Linked DNA regions of Kluyveromyces lactis. The protein of the gene in region 2 purifies or fractionates together with the protein of the main gene of each other region. This does not show direct contact. Links are inferred from orthologs where the notes say so. Each region holds a gene or a part of one and is shown on either strand. Other genes may lie near its edges.

Region 1 (5,336 bases), on a different chromosome or scaffold from region 2:
ACAAGAAGCACGCATGCACGCATGCACACAATTCTATTTCATGTACTATTGCATTGTATACTATTCACATCACCTAAATAAAGCATATTCATCTGATTTTATAAATTTGGTATGTTGGGATTTTAAAAAGTTCATTAATTATTTAAAGACGGGAAGCCTTACATAAGATGTTGGCATATTTCCATGTAGAAACATATTAAGATTAAGTTTTGTTTATATACAGTGATCTCGTAAATAGTAGTCATTATAAAGTGTTCCAGAAGCGGTTGTATAGGATACAGTGATCATTATAGGTTTCTTTTCGACAGTCCCTTATAGGATTTTCTGAACATAAGAATAGAATCTATTTTCTCCAAAGCGAGTTCCAATAATTCTTTACGTTTTTGTAATTCAATATGTCTAGCAATTCTGACGTCCTCTTTAGCGAACATCTCGACTTGTTCATCAGATAATAAACTTAGTTTCTTATCCAATTCAATTGGGAAATTGTAAAAGAAGTCACTTAACAACTCAACATTTAGAAATAATACTGCGGTTGATGTTAGTTTATCGCTTACTGCGTTCAAAAATACCTCTGGGCATTTATCTTTCTGAGTCACGGAGAAACATTTGTTCTTCAAGAACTTGAGTCTGAAATTTAATAATGAAGATCTATCTTGTAGGAACATCGCTTCATGGCCCCTTTCAAGCAGTAGGGCAGAGAATCCAAGAGTCTCCTTTCTATTTGGATCCTGTTTCAAGAATTGAATAACTTGATTTAGCTTTCTGTTTCCAACAGCGTTTTTAATCATATTGAATCTATCGTTACATTGGCGTAATTCTTCTTTAATAAGTAGAACCGAGTGTTCTTGAGCCAAGGACCAATCTCTATCTTCCAAATCAATCTCGTATTTGAATGGTTTGATACAGTTTTCAACTTGGTCCGCCGTGGAGTAATATTTGGAATTTAAAACGTTGACAGCAGTGTTTGTAACAAGCTCCTTTATCAAATCATGGTTTCTCAACTGTGACTGATTCAAAATGTTGTTTAATTCTTGAATAATGGCATTCGTAACAAGACTAGTGGACAATCTACCTACACCAATTTTGGTCAAACTAGATTGTGCAAGTTCTAACTTTCTATGCCAATACAATGCAGAGGATTCATCTTCAAGGTCTTGAGATGTTGAAAGCTCTGGTAAGTTCAAATCTTTCCAATATCTGGCAGCAAGTAAGTCCAAAACTTTTTGATCCAAATCGGCTTTGAGAATTGATTTCAGATCGTTTCTACCAAACTTTTCTTGGAATTCTTTGATTGCAACTTTAAGAACGTCGATGTTGTTCAATAAATATGACTTTGGAGTTAGTTGACGATCGTTGAACTCCACCTTGAAAAGATATGCCGCGTCATCTAATTCCTGTTGAATCAAACGGGAAGTAGGTTCAAGAGCATTGCTCATAGAAACCTCTAAGATTTTGATCAATTTCTCTCTTAATTTTTTCGTACTCACTTGGCACGCAGTGAAATCCTTCTTGTGTTCTTTGAAAAATTCGTTCTCAAACTGCTTTGTTTGAGTTATAGCTGTAGTCTCTGTTGGGTCTGTTTTCTTTTTTGAAAACAAATGACTTCCAGAAGATCTGTTGTCGAATAATCTCTGCACTGGAGTCGTACTTGGACTCTTTGTGATGACACCGACATATCCCATTTTTAGAGGGTACTTTCTGTTATTAAGGATAGCTCGAGCAGTCTTAGCATCCACAAGATCCAATTTAGTGACAACACCTATGGTTCTTAGACCTTGAGGATCAGCTACTTTAGATGCACGAAGAGCAGCACTATTTGCAAGATCAACGTCTGCGGCTGAGATAGCCAAAATGATGTTTGGTTCTTCGAGATATTTGTCACATAGCTGACGAATCTTAGATTTAAGTTCTATGGGCTGATCAACAGCTTCCACTTGAATGTAACCAGGTAAATCAACTAAGGACAAATCTGGAACTCTCGAAGATTTGATTGTGAGCTGGATAGGGTCATCTGAGACAGCTTCAGTGCTAGGCACAGCCATGTTCATTTCCGTTAAAATTCTTTTAACTTCTTTGAAATCCTTCAAATTATATATTCTCATAGTGGGGAAATCTGCAGTAACTTCTTGAGATGTTGGAGTGTTCACTAGGGTCAATTCAATTGGTCTTCTAGTAACCATATTAGTACCCTTTGGTAAAAAGTCTTTGCCGACAATGGATTCCAAGACAGATGATTTACCACTTGACTGAGACCCTATGACAACAATAGATGGTAAAGCTAGATTGGCTGAAGTAGAATCCACTTTATTCAAGATTGATCTGATTTCGATCATTTGCTTTGTTAAATTTAACATTTCATCCTGCGTGTTGTCCTCAGCCTCTTCCAAGTCATCATCTTCCTCATCTTCATCGTTTCCATTCTTTTTACGACGTTTTCCATCTGCCGATTCCTCTTCATCGTGCTGATTCTTCAATGTCTTCCCTTCATCATCATTTTCATCATCTGATAATGAAGCCAGGAGAGTAGCTGCTGCAACGGCATCCGACCCGTTATTGTCACCACTGTTTCCTCCATCGTCCGACTGTCCATCTCTCTGAAACCAATCACCCAATTTATCCTTGACATCTCCCGTGAAATCTTTGAATTTGGATAGTTGATCCTGTGTAAATTGTCCGGCTTCGTTCACTTTATAAGCAACGTATGAACCAAACGCAGCGGCACCACCCCCAACGTAAGCCGGAATACGAACCATCTTGCCTATCATACTGGGGAAAAACGATGCGAACCTCTTGTTAGTCAAGGCAAAAGGACCCTTCATATCATTAGTAACATTTGACATTATCGATGGTCTAACCATAAATCGCAACGCACCTGTCCTGGCTGGACCCATCCATAGCTGTCTGAACAGCACCCTGCGGCACTGGTTAGCAAACATATATTTGGATCTTTGTTGAACTCTTGATTGATGTATACAGTGTGTAGTAATACTTCAGAGACGGACAATAAAACGTCAGGGCATCTTCTGGTTTCTTCCCTGTTATATATGCTATTATTTCAATATGTAATAATAAAACCATCTCATCACAGAGAAAAGAGAAGTAGAACATTCTCATTTCCGGGTAACCACCGCTGGATGTTTTTTCTATTTCTAAATCACATGATTAGAATATATGTCTATTTTTCATGTATCATTGAGAGGCAGTCGTTTGTCCGGGTAATATGGTAAAAGATTCCAGTTCAGACCAGGTGCGAAACTTTCAGCATCTCTTAATAAGCCCATAAAAGGGAGCTTTCTTATTGAATGATAAAGCTAACCCCTAAACAGCGAAGACTACACCGTTGTTCAACCTATAGTACACATGCATTAACTAACCATACACAGCACAACACAATTGTAGCACTAAATTATTGCGAAAGCGTCAGAAATAACGTTACAGAAAAAAAGGAAAAAGGAATGCTATCGTTTCCCTCCCCCAGATACTTCTTTTCTCTTTAGACTCTGTGCAGTGCATAGTAGACCCAAAAATTCGCGTCTTATTTTTTGATCGGTAGTTTTTTACACATCCCACAGATAGACAATAAAAAAGAGTCGAAAAATCAAAACAAAACAAAACACGAACTGAATGGAAATATAAAAAAAACAAACAAAAAAGCCTTAGAGATACATTCCATGTTATTTACAACAACAACAGTTAAGAAGTTTTAAAGAGAAAGAGAGAGCTATATATCATCGTTTGAACCCTATTGTTTGAGCTATTCTGTTTATTTGTTACCAAAGTTTGATTGAGTGAAATTTAGAAGTTTTTCTGGCCGCAAATTGAGACGTTATCTGCAATTATAAACAAAAGTTAAGAGAGCAAAAAAATATTATTGTGATTTAATATTGAAAGAAAGATTTTAGCATCCAGTCATATTATAAGTAACTGTCCTATTCCTCTACCATTATACAATACTATCAGAAATGGCTGCCAAAGTTGTTAAGACTACTAAGAAATCGACCGCTGTGTCCCCAAAATCCAAGGCCGCTTCAAAATCAGGAGCTTTGCCAAAGTATAAGGGTATGTGACTTTATTTTTTTTCCTTCGTTTTTCCGTCACTGTGCTTTGCTCTGAGACTGGGAGCCTAGCTTTAGTTAGATTGTTGATTGTTGATACTATGAACTACCAGTGTAGCAGACCATGCTTTGTCACCCCTTCAAAATTGTAATGTTTGTTTTTCTTCATTGATTTTTTTTCTGGCTGCACACATTATTGTTGTTCATTTGAAATTACAATCTATCATTGGTTAAGCTTCCATTATGAAATGTTAATTCACTTTACTAACTTATGCATCACATTCTCTCGTCGCATGCGTGTGAGTTCCTTTTTCTTTTGTGCAGAATTGATTACTGAAGCTATTGTTGCTCTAGCTGAACGTGGTGGTTCTTCTAGGCAAGCTTTGAAGTCTTTCATCAAGGAAAAATACCCAGTTGGTGAAAACTTCGACACCCAATTCAACCTGGCTGTCCAAGAGAGGGTTGGAGACTGAGTTCTTCTCTCAACCAAAGGGACCTGCTGGTTCTATCAAATTGGTGAAAAAACCAAAGGCTGAGTCCAAGAAGGCAGCTCCTTCTGCTGTTAAGAAATCTTCTACTACCAAGAAGCCAGCTGCCACCACCAAGAAGAGCTCTACTAGTTCAAAAAAGGCTTCTGCTGGTAAGGTCGTCAAGAAGGAGTCTTCAAAGAAGACCACTGCTAAGAAAGCAGCTACCAAGAAGGCTCCTGCTAAGAAGACTGCCGTTAAGAAGTCCAAGAAATAAAGTTAATCAAATTTCGAATCACTTTATTTTTTTACCTCCTGTGAATATCGATTCACCTAACTTCTTAATGCGTGTGTTGTATTTTACTACCTTCCTTTGATACTTCTGTCTACCCTTAATAATTCAGTTCAAATCGGTTATTTTTGTGTTATTTAAATCAATTATACCCTTTATCACCACTCTATTATTTTCTTCCTTGAAAAATTGTCTTTCTGTTGAAATATATTCCACCCCTTCCTGTCCTTTACCCTACTTATTCCTTTTGACTACATTCACCATCATTTATTCCAACCCAAACCTCCTATCTCTTACTGTGGTCTCTCTGTTACTCCTCCTTTCATCTTTTCTTTTAACTCACGGAAATTTTAAAATGAGAACACACCACTTAGATTATTGACTAGTGTAATATTAACATTAGCGGATTTCTAAATCAATCCGCTCTTCTTTATTGATATCTCGAATAAAATCATTAAAAATTTCAAATCAACAGGTAGATACCACCTACCTTTATCGTACATGTTTCCTATCCATTGC
Region 2 (8,854 bases):
TCCTATTGACATTTAGTGTAATACAACTTGGTAGCCATAAATTGAAGGAAAGTTGTTGGACATCCTCTCTATTCCAATGAGCAATCATAAAATCGTTGCCTTCTTGTCTTGAACTTCATGATGAATTTGAATTTTAAAGGTTCAATCAGGGAATTACATGTCGCCATGTTAAAAAAGTATTTTGACACATACAGAACAATACATGAGGATTGTGATTTTAAGGTAAGCACTGGTGCATCACTGCCTGATCGATAATATCTATTGAGAAAGTAATAATGACTGACTTTCAGGAGACTTTATCGTCTGTTTCTAAGAGATTCCTAGAACTATACCGTTCCAAGATTCTGTCCCAATGGAGGGGGACTAATGGCTCCTCCGAGGAAGAGAAACGTTTCAACTCTCTTATACAGCAAAACGGTTTTGCTCGACAGATATTTGGTCTTTATAAATCATTATGTTTCAGGTATGAGAATGACGCATGGTACTCCGTAGTATTAGATATATTAGATCTTGATTTAATATACAGCAACGTTGACAAAGCTGTTCAAGATAATAATGCTTCGGATATTGAATATCAGGACTATTTGGTGAAAGAGCTTCTCAGGTACTTCAAAAGAGATTTCTTCTCATGGTGTAACAAACCTAATTGTTCCAAATGTGGCACTGACGAACATCTCGAATGGGTGGGTACAGATAGAGCAAACAGTGAGGAAGCCAAATATCAATGTGGGAACGTCGAAGTATACCGCTGCACCCTTACTGGTGATATCACAAGATTTCCGCGTTATAATGATCCGATAAAGTTACTTCAGACAAGAACAGGAAGGTGTGGAGAATGGTGTAATGTGTTCACCTTGATTTTGAAATCGTTCGGGTTAAACGCAAGATATATTTGGAACAAAGAGGATCATGTATGGTGCGAGTACTATTCACCCAATTTAAAAAGATGGGTTCATTTAGATTGCTGCGAACAAAGTTTTGATGAGCCTCATATTTACTCGAAGAATTGGAACAAGAAGATGAGTTATGTTTTGGCTTTCAGTAATGACATTGTAGCAGATGTTAGTGGCAGATATATCCTACAAAATAACCTACCTCGTAATGCCATATCTGAGAACGAACTGAATTTTATGTGTACTTACCTAACTAAGACATTGAGAAAAGATTTCAATGATGATCAAATATACGCTCTGGCGTGCCGAGATGAACAAGAGCGATTATCATTGGAGAAGACAAAGCCATCGAAAGATACATCGACGACTACATTGACAGGTACAAAAGGTAGAGAAAGTGGTTCTACAGCCTGGAAGCAGCAAAGAGGAGAAGATGGTTCATGAGTAACCAGCATGTTTGCTTTTAACTTCAGTTATGTATAATATTGAACTTATATATGAATAGTATCTTGTGTACAAATGTTTTAAACATTGACATTACTTTATTTGACTAATGATTCAAGAGCATCAAAATATTGGGCAACCTGCTTTGTTGCCCAAGAGTCATGGTTTTTCTCCAAGTAAGCTAAATGGCCACCTAAATCTGTTTCGATCAGTAAAACATGAGGATTTTCCTCAGCTTCCTTCACTGGAATACATTTATCACCTATGACTGGGTCATCTTTGGAATTGATGACTAGAGTTGGAACATTTATAGTTGGTAGACGGTTAATAGAGCTTCCGACACGGTAATAAGACCAGGAGTCTTCGAATCCAACAGCCTTTGCTGTAAAAATGTCATCAAACTGACTTGGATCAGTGAACTGCTTAGCTTTTTTCAAGTTTTCACGTGTGAAAGAATAATTCGAATAGTGTTCTGGCGAAATCTCAGCAGGCTTCTCACCGCCCTTCCATTCGATTTGATTCATGTTAACTTCCAGTGTTCTTACTAAAAATTGAGTGATACTCTTTGCGAACAAACGACTAGACCAGAAGTCTTCCCTCATTTTATGGGCAGAATTAGTCAAGTCCCAAGGATTACATACTAATGCAGCACCTGATAAAAGACACTTTTCTCCTTCTTCTCCCAGGAAATTAGCCAACATTGTTGCACCGAATGAAAACCCAACAGCATAAATCTTTCTCTTTGGATCACGCTTGTGTTCTCTTTGCACAAACTCACGCAGATCTTCTGTTGCAAACGCATAGAACAATTTCGGTGATACAACTTTTGTACGTGCACAACCTCTGGTGTTCAACACGGCCACTTTAAACTTCTCATTAGAGATATTTGAAAGTTGCTCCGTTAATGATCTGATGATTGGTTCATGGCTACCACCAGCCAAACCATGCATAACAATGATCAATGGCTTACTTGTATCGTTCAAAACAGACTCTTTTTCTTCGTCATCCATGTATCTAGTACGTGGATGCAAACGAGGCCAGCCTTCAGGATGTGTCTTTTTACCATCCTCAGCTAGTTTCTCTTTATTGTATGTACCGGTGGCAGGGTCTAGTTCGTACAGTTTCTTCCAGTCATTTCTAACCCAATCAATACTGGCAATCCCATGATCAGACATCTCAAACAGTTCTCTACCGTAAAATACATTGAATTTCTTGCTGAAATCACCACCTGCCAAATACATGGTTTGTAAAATACCAGTAAAGATTAGTGGACTTAATTGAAATTTGCTGCCATCGCTCAATCCAGTAACCTCTTCGGAGATTAATTCATGCAATTGAGCCTCGGATCCATCTTTCTTTTGCAACTTGATTGTTCCTTTTTCACCGATATGTTGAGTTACAGTACCATTGTAACCCCAGTGCAGTGGGTTGAATAATAAGTTCACCATTATTGTCAACGTTTATTAGATAAGAGACAACGTCGTTGTGTCAGTACACAAATAGGGTAGACGAAAAATATTACCAAAGTATATAACCAATTTTATGAAGATAAATAAAATAAGTCAGAATATCTGTGGCTCGTTCCTTGATTCTGTTTCCATCTTTATATATTTCGCATTTGAAATGGGTTCTGGTGATGCTACAGGTGTTTGATTTTCGGACCGTAAAAATATCAGCCGAAGGATCCGGAGGTTATGAACGAAGGGTCTCGCATGAGCCATGGAGGGGAAAGGGGACCGAAAGTAAGGTTGTAAATATGTTTAGTTGGTTCGGATCCGCAGCAGTAATGAAATATTTACATGAAAAACTATCATATGGGAATAATTATATATGGTTTCAGATAGAAGAATGATTCTGTTCTTTAGGGTCCTGTAATGCCCATAGATCCATTTAATCAATCTACTTCCAAATTGATCGATTCCACAGTACCTCTCTGTTTCTGTGACTTGGATAATAACGCCTGGAAAAATTCAATACTCATTGCGTTATCCCTTACTTTGCATTCTACTTCTTTCTTTTGGGAAGTCTTTTTATCAACAATTAACTCACACGCTTTTACCACTTCTCTGGTTGGGTATTTGAACACCTGTGATACTTCTTTCGAGATACGGTCAGCGTTATTATGCGCATAATCGATTTCTTGTAATCGTAGCTTATATTTCAAGGATAACTTCATCGGTAGCGCTCTTGGTAAGTCGTGAATTAAATAGGCTATTCCTAAGACTCCCCCTAGCAGTATCAACGATCCAGACAATTTTTTCAAGGATTCTAAAGAGAAAAACCTTGAGCCATGAAGCACGATATTTGTTATCATTTTAGAACCCCCAAAGGAATAGACCAGTAATGTTGGGATCTTTGAAGTAAAGATTAACGATGGGTTGGTCCAATACTGTGAAACAGAATATGATGTTAATGCAAGGGATTGCGACCATGAGCTTTTGGTAGTCAAAGTATTCTCTTCGTTAGTAATTTTCGGTGTTGGTTTAACGAGACCCCAGGATAGGTAAGAGATAAATCCTTCAACAGATGGATCCAAAAAGTTATGCAATTCTAATGGAATATTCAATTTTTTGCTTAAATTATGCTTTTTCTTGGTGAACATCAAACCACTCTTGAAAACCTTGCCCGCCATAAATTCATCACCTAGTTGTTCCTTCGCTAATGCGTTTATTTGAGAAACTGATTGTTCTGCGCTGTTCTTAGCATATGCTTCACTGACTTGTACGCTGGCTAAAATTTGGTCCACGATGAAAGTTCTAACTCGTTGAACATAGTCATAAATGCCAGAAAGACCAGAATATGGAGGGAATTCAGCAGGCTTTAGTATTAACGCTTTGTTAATTTGCATTTTTGTGTATCCATATACTTCCTTTGTGGTAAATTCGCAAATTTTATCAATTGATTCGATAAGCTCAGAACAGCGATTGGTAACATCGTGGAGTTCCGGTTGCAAATCAATTAGAAGGGCATTCAAATGATAGTCTTCCTCTTTATATTTTTCAAGATTACATTGTGATATCCTTTCAAGATCCTTCAATAGCTTTATTAGATAAGTTTTTGCTGGTAAAAGTTTCGAGAGTGATCTTTTCTTGAAGACGAAATTACGCAAATTGTCCTCTAATTTATCGAAATCAGGATCTTCTTTTGGAGGGTTTGGCATGTCTCCATTTGGGTCATCTCCTCCATCAGGGCGATTTTCGCCTTCATGGGGTATTTTACCATGACTGGTAACAAAGTGTACAAATTCACTATTCTGCTTATAAGTTTCTGGAGAAATTTCCTTGATCTGATCTAGAATCAGCTTCTTGCATCTGTCTTTGTCCTTGATATGATCAAACTTGTTGATCACGAAGAACATTAATTTCTTCTCCCTTGAAGCCATAGTAATGAATTCTCTAGCAGATAATGTTAATTGATTTTCGGCATTGACGACAAATACTACAAGATCAATCTCTTCTTGCCTAGACATCACTTCAGTTGTTTTCACTGAATCCATATTAAGCCCAGGAGAGTCAATAAGAGATATATCTGCAGTTCCGTTTCTCAACAAACTAGAGTCAACCGGCCTTTTATCATCTTTAATATATATCTTCAACAAGATATAGTGATCATTATCATAAACCAATTGATCTAGCTTATCGAGAGTATAATCTTCATAAGTCGATCTGTCTCTCATGTCGTATAATACGGATGCATCCTTAACGTTAGTTGCCACGGTCTTGGGAATGGCATGGACTCTTTCCATATTTCCGTTCTCTCTCGCTTCTAAAATTTCACAGAATACATTGGTACAAGGCAATTGATCCTCAGGCAAAACCTTCTTTCTCAAAAATGCGTTACATAACGTAGATTTTCCTGAGTTCAAATCGCCTGTTATGAAAACTTTTGAAGAAGTATCCTGTACACGAGTTTGTAAATTAATCAAATGGTCAATCGCAGATAACGCTTGTGTTTTGAATAACTGCGCCAAAGCACTCTTATCAAGTTGCATATTCTCCCTACCATCTAGTTTGACTTTAAGTTCCAATACGTCCAAAGATTCAGAATGCTCTGGAATATAGATGGCTCTTTGATTATTTTCAGTGATCAAATCGTTGATCAAAGGCCTGACCACGGTAATGGAATCGAGAAGACTGTTTCTGTTGAGAGAGTATGATTGTTGTGTCAAATGAGAATAAAACATATGATCTCTCGACCTATCACGACGATGAGAAGAATGCCTTTGTAGAAGGTTACTCATTTGAACATCTGTTAAAGTTGTACTTGACTCCAACTGATGTGATGAAATTTCAAACGGGGCATCGTTGCTCAACTCATCTTCATATTTAGAGCTTCTTCTATTAGAATTCTGCGATATTTCCTTCTGTGACATGTTGCAGAAGTTTGTAATATTGTGGTGCGGCCGTTCGCTCAGTTATAATACCTATACTAGGATTGGAAGCGAGTGGTATCCTGTTGGCATTATTTTTCTAACTGTTTGCAACTTCTGCTTTCATTACTGTTTTCATTACTGTTGCTGCGTTTTTCATTTTCTTACTTGACCTTAAATCAATTCATGCAAAATAAAACTTTAAAAGAAGGTGATTTCTAGTGTCAGAAACCAAAGATGTCACTACTGATATTAGTATGAGTACATATATCTATATTTATATATGTTTGTATGTTTATATGTGATATTAGTATGTGATTCTCACCGAAAGAATGAACATACACCTTCTGTGATAGTTAAATTGCTAATGTACAGTCTGGGATGGAAGTCCGTTACATTGAAGTTATTTTTGCTTCTTTGCAACTGATCTATGCTTTCTCTTTTCTTTCTTCAGGAAGCTATAGCATTCCTTTTCACCAAATCCATATAGCGGTTTGAAACTTTCTATAACACCGCAATCTTCGAACAAGTTTGGGAAGAGCCAGAACCCACCCTTCTCGCTAACTGCAGCTAATGACAACAAGTAAACTATCAATCTCACAATTGCAATACCAAAGAATACACCGATAAGTGCCAATGCTGCAATGGATAAGTAGTAAGTACCACGTTTCATATATGGAGGCCATAATGGGTAACACACGAATGCTAGCACACCGACTATGATACCGATCACAGTCAAGTAATCATAAATTGATTTTGGATTATAAGACCAGACGTAATATTCATCTGGTTGTAGAGTCGCTTTATTCGATAATAATAAGTTTGGATATGATTTGTTTGGCTTTAGACCATGTTCTTTACATTCTGCAGAATGTAATTTAACCGCTGGTACGACAAATTGGGCCTTGATTAAGGAAACAAAAATGTTACGAGCATCTTCATCGCTTGTCACAGCGGGGTACAATTCGGGTTGTTTTTTGGACTTTGCCTTATATTTATCACTTTTCAAAGCTCTAACAAATCTTTTATAACGGAAGAAGTCAACTAAACGCGATTGGAACAATCCTTGTCTTTGCTTCAAGTCGCTATGAGTCCTGAGTAGATTGGCAATGGCTATCGTAGATTGTGGGCTTGGTTCCGACATAGTAACGAAACAAATCTATATTTGAAGAGAAAAATTCAAAAAAAAAAGGCGGATAAGGCAATTCTACCGGAAATTAGGCAATTATCAGGTAGTGATTAGAAAGTTATAATGAATCTAGAGATTGGACTCAAGCTGTATTCTTTCAGATCAAAATCTCATTGATATTTCTGTATATATTGAAAGTTGAAACGTAAACCGTAAATAAAATGTTCACATACATTTTAACAGTAAAATATATTGTTACCCCGACAGTCTCAAAAGAAAGTGCTTTAGTCACGTGACATAACCAATGTGTATGCCTTTAACGGTCAATTCTGAGATCCATACGAAAAAGAAATCCTGAAAGCACAATTTTTTTTTTCTTTTCAAAGGTTTGCAGTAGTGGGAAAATTTTCCAAACGGCAAGCTCATCTCATCTCATCTCATCTCATTGTGCATTCGAAGTGATAGACAGAGCTTGATTATCAGTGTGACATCCGTTTGACAGGTAGTTTGAATAGATTGGAAGTTTGTTCAAACAACTAAGCATAGCTTAACTGCATTATTGCTAGTTTAATTGTTTTTTGTTGTCCCCGTGTGTGCGTGTATCCCAAAGTTTACGTCAAATCAATTAAGCAACAATGCAATTATCCTGGAAAGATATTCCGACCGTGGCTCCTGCCAATGACTTGTTGGACATTGTGTTGAACAGAACTCAAAGAAAGACACCTACTGTTATTAGACCAGGTTTCAATATCACTCGTATCAGAGCGTTTTACATGAGAAAGGTGAAGTTCACCGGTGAAGGGTTCGTGGAAAAATTTGATGATATTTTGAAAGGTTTCCCTAATATTAACGACGTGCATCCTTTCCATAGGGATTTGATGGATACTTTGTATGAAAAGAATCATTTCAAAGTTTCTTTGGCTGCTGTGAGTCGTGCTAAGACATTGGTCGAACAAGTTGAAAGAGATTACACAAGATTGTTAAAATTCGGTCAATCTCTTTTCCAATGTAAACAATTGAAGAGAGCCGCTCTTGGTAGAATGGCTACCATTGTGAAGAAGTTGAAGGATCCTTTAGTGTATTTGGAACAAGTTAGACAACATTTGGGTAGAATGCCATCCATCGACCCAAACACCAGAACTTTGTTGATTTGCGGTTATCCAAATGTGGGTAAATCCTCTTTCTTGAGATGTATCACTAAGGCTGATGTCGAAGTGCAACCTTATGCTTTCACCACCAAGTCGCTATATGTGGGTCATTTTGATTATAAATACTTGAGATTCCAAGCGATTGATACTCCAGGTATCTTGGATAGACCTACGGATGAAATGAACAACGTCGAAATGCAATCCATTTATGCTATTGCTCATTTGCGTTCTACTGTTATGTACTTCATGGATCTATCAGAACAGTGTGGTTTCTCTATTGAAGCTCAAGTCAAATTATTCCATTCGATCAAACCATTGTTTGCCAATAAATCCGTCATGGTCGTCATTAACAAGACTGATATCATTAAACCTGAAGATTTAGACGAAGAACGTAAGAAACTTTTGGATACTGTTTTGGAAGTTCCAGGTGTTGAAATCATGACCACTTCTTGTCATGAAGAAGATAACGTTATGGCTGTTAGAAACAAGGCTTGTGAAAAGTTGTTGGCTTCCAGAATTGAAAACAAGCTAAAATCTCAAGCTAGAATCACTAACGTCTTAAACAAGATCCACGTCGCTCAACCTCAAAAGCGTGATGATGGTATTGACAGAACTCCATATATTCCAGAAGCCATCGCTAAGATGAAGAAATATGATCCAGAAGATCCAAACAGAAGAAAATTGGCTAAAGAAATTGAAATCGAAAACGGTGGGGCCGGTGTATACAACGTTAATTTGAAGGACAAGTATCTATTGGAAGACGATGAATGGAAGAACGATGTCATGCCAGAAATCTTAGATGGTAAGAACGTTTATGACTTCTTGGATCCAGAAATCGCAATCAAATTACAAGCTTTAGAGGAAGAAGAAG

What was found. The genes of interacting proteins can lie anywhere in the genome.
Region 1: the proteins of FZO1 (region 2) and MGM1 purify together in Saccharomyces cerevisiae (affinity purification with western blotting; 3 studies listed by BioGRID, with this or other methods). This does not show direct contact. The link is inferred for Kluyveromyces lactis from reciprocal best matches to the Saccharomyces cerevisiae genes FZO1 and MGM1.

The regions. Positions count from the first base shown.
Region 1 is NC_006040.1:577,785-583,120, forward strand, and holds MGM1 (dynamin-related GTPase MGM1), read right to left. Parts: upstream 2,940-5,336; coding exon 288-2,939; downstream 1-287. UniProt on the Saccharomyces cerevisiae protein: Dynamin-related GTPase that is essential for normal mitochondrial morphology by mediating fusion of the mitochondrial inner membranes, regulating cristae morphology and maintaining respiratory chain function.
Region 2 is NC_006041.1:2,151,307-2,160,160, reverse strand, and holds FZO1 (mitofusin), read right to left. Parts: upstream 5,710-8,854; coding exon 3,232-5,709; downstream 1-3,231. Other genes in the region: KLLA0_E24245g (uncharacterized protein), read right to left, coding at 1-88; PNG1 (peptide-N4-(N-acetyl-beta-glucosaminyl)asparagine amidase), read left to right, coding at 276-1,337; EEB1 (medium-chain fatty acid ethyl ester synthase/esterase), read right to left, coding at 1,436-2,785; Sec63 complex subunit SEC62, read right to left, coding at 6,110-6,850; putative GTPase NOG1, read left to right, coding at 7,471-8,854. UniProt on the Saccharomyces cerevisiae protein: Essential transmembrane GTPase, which mediates mitochondrial fusion.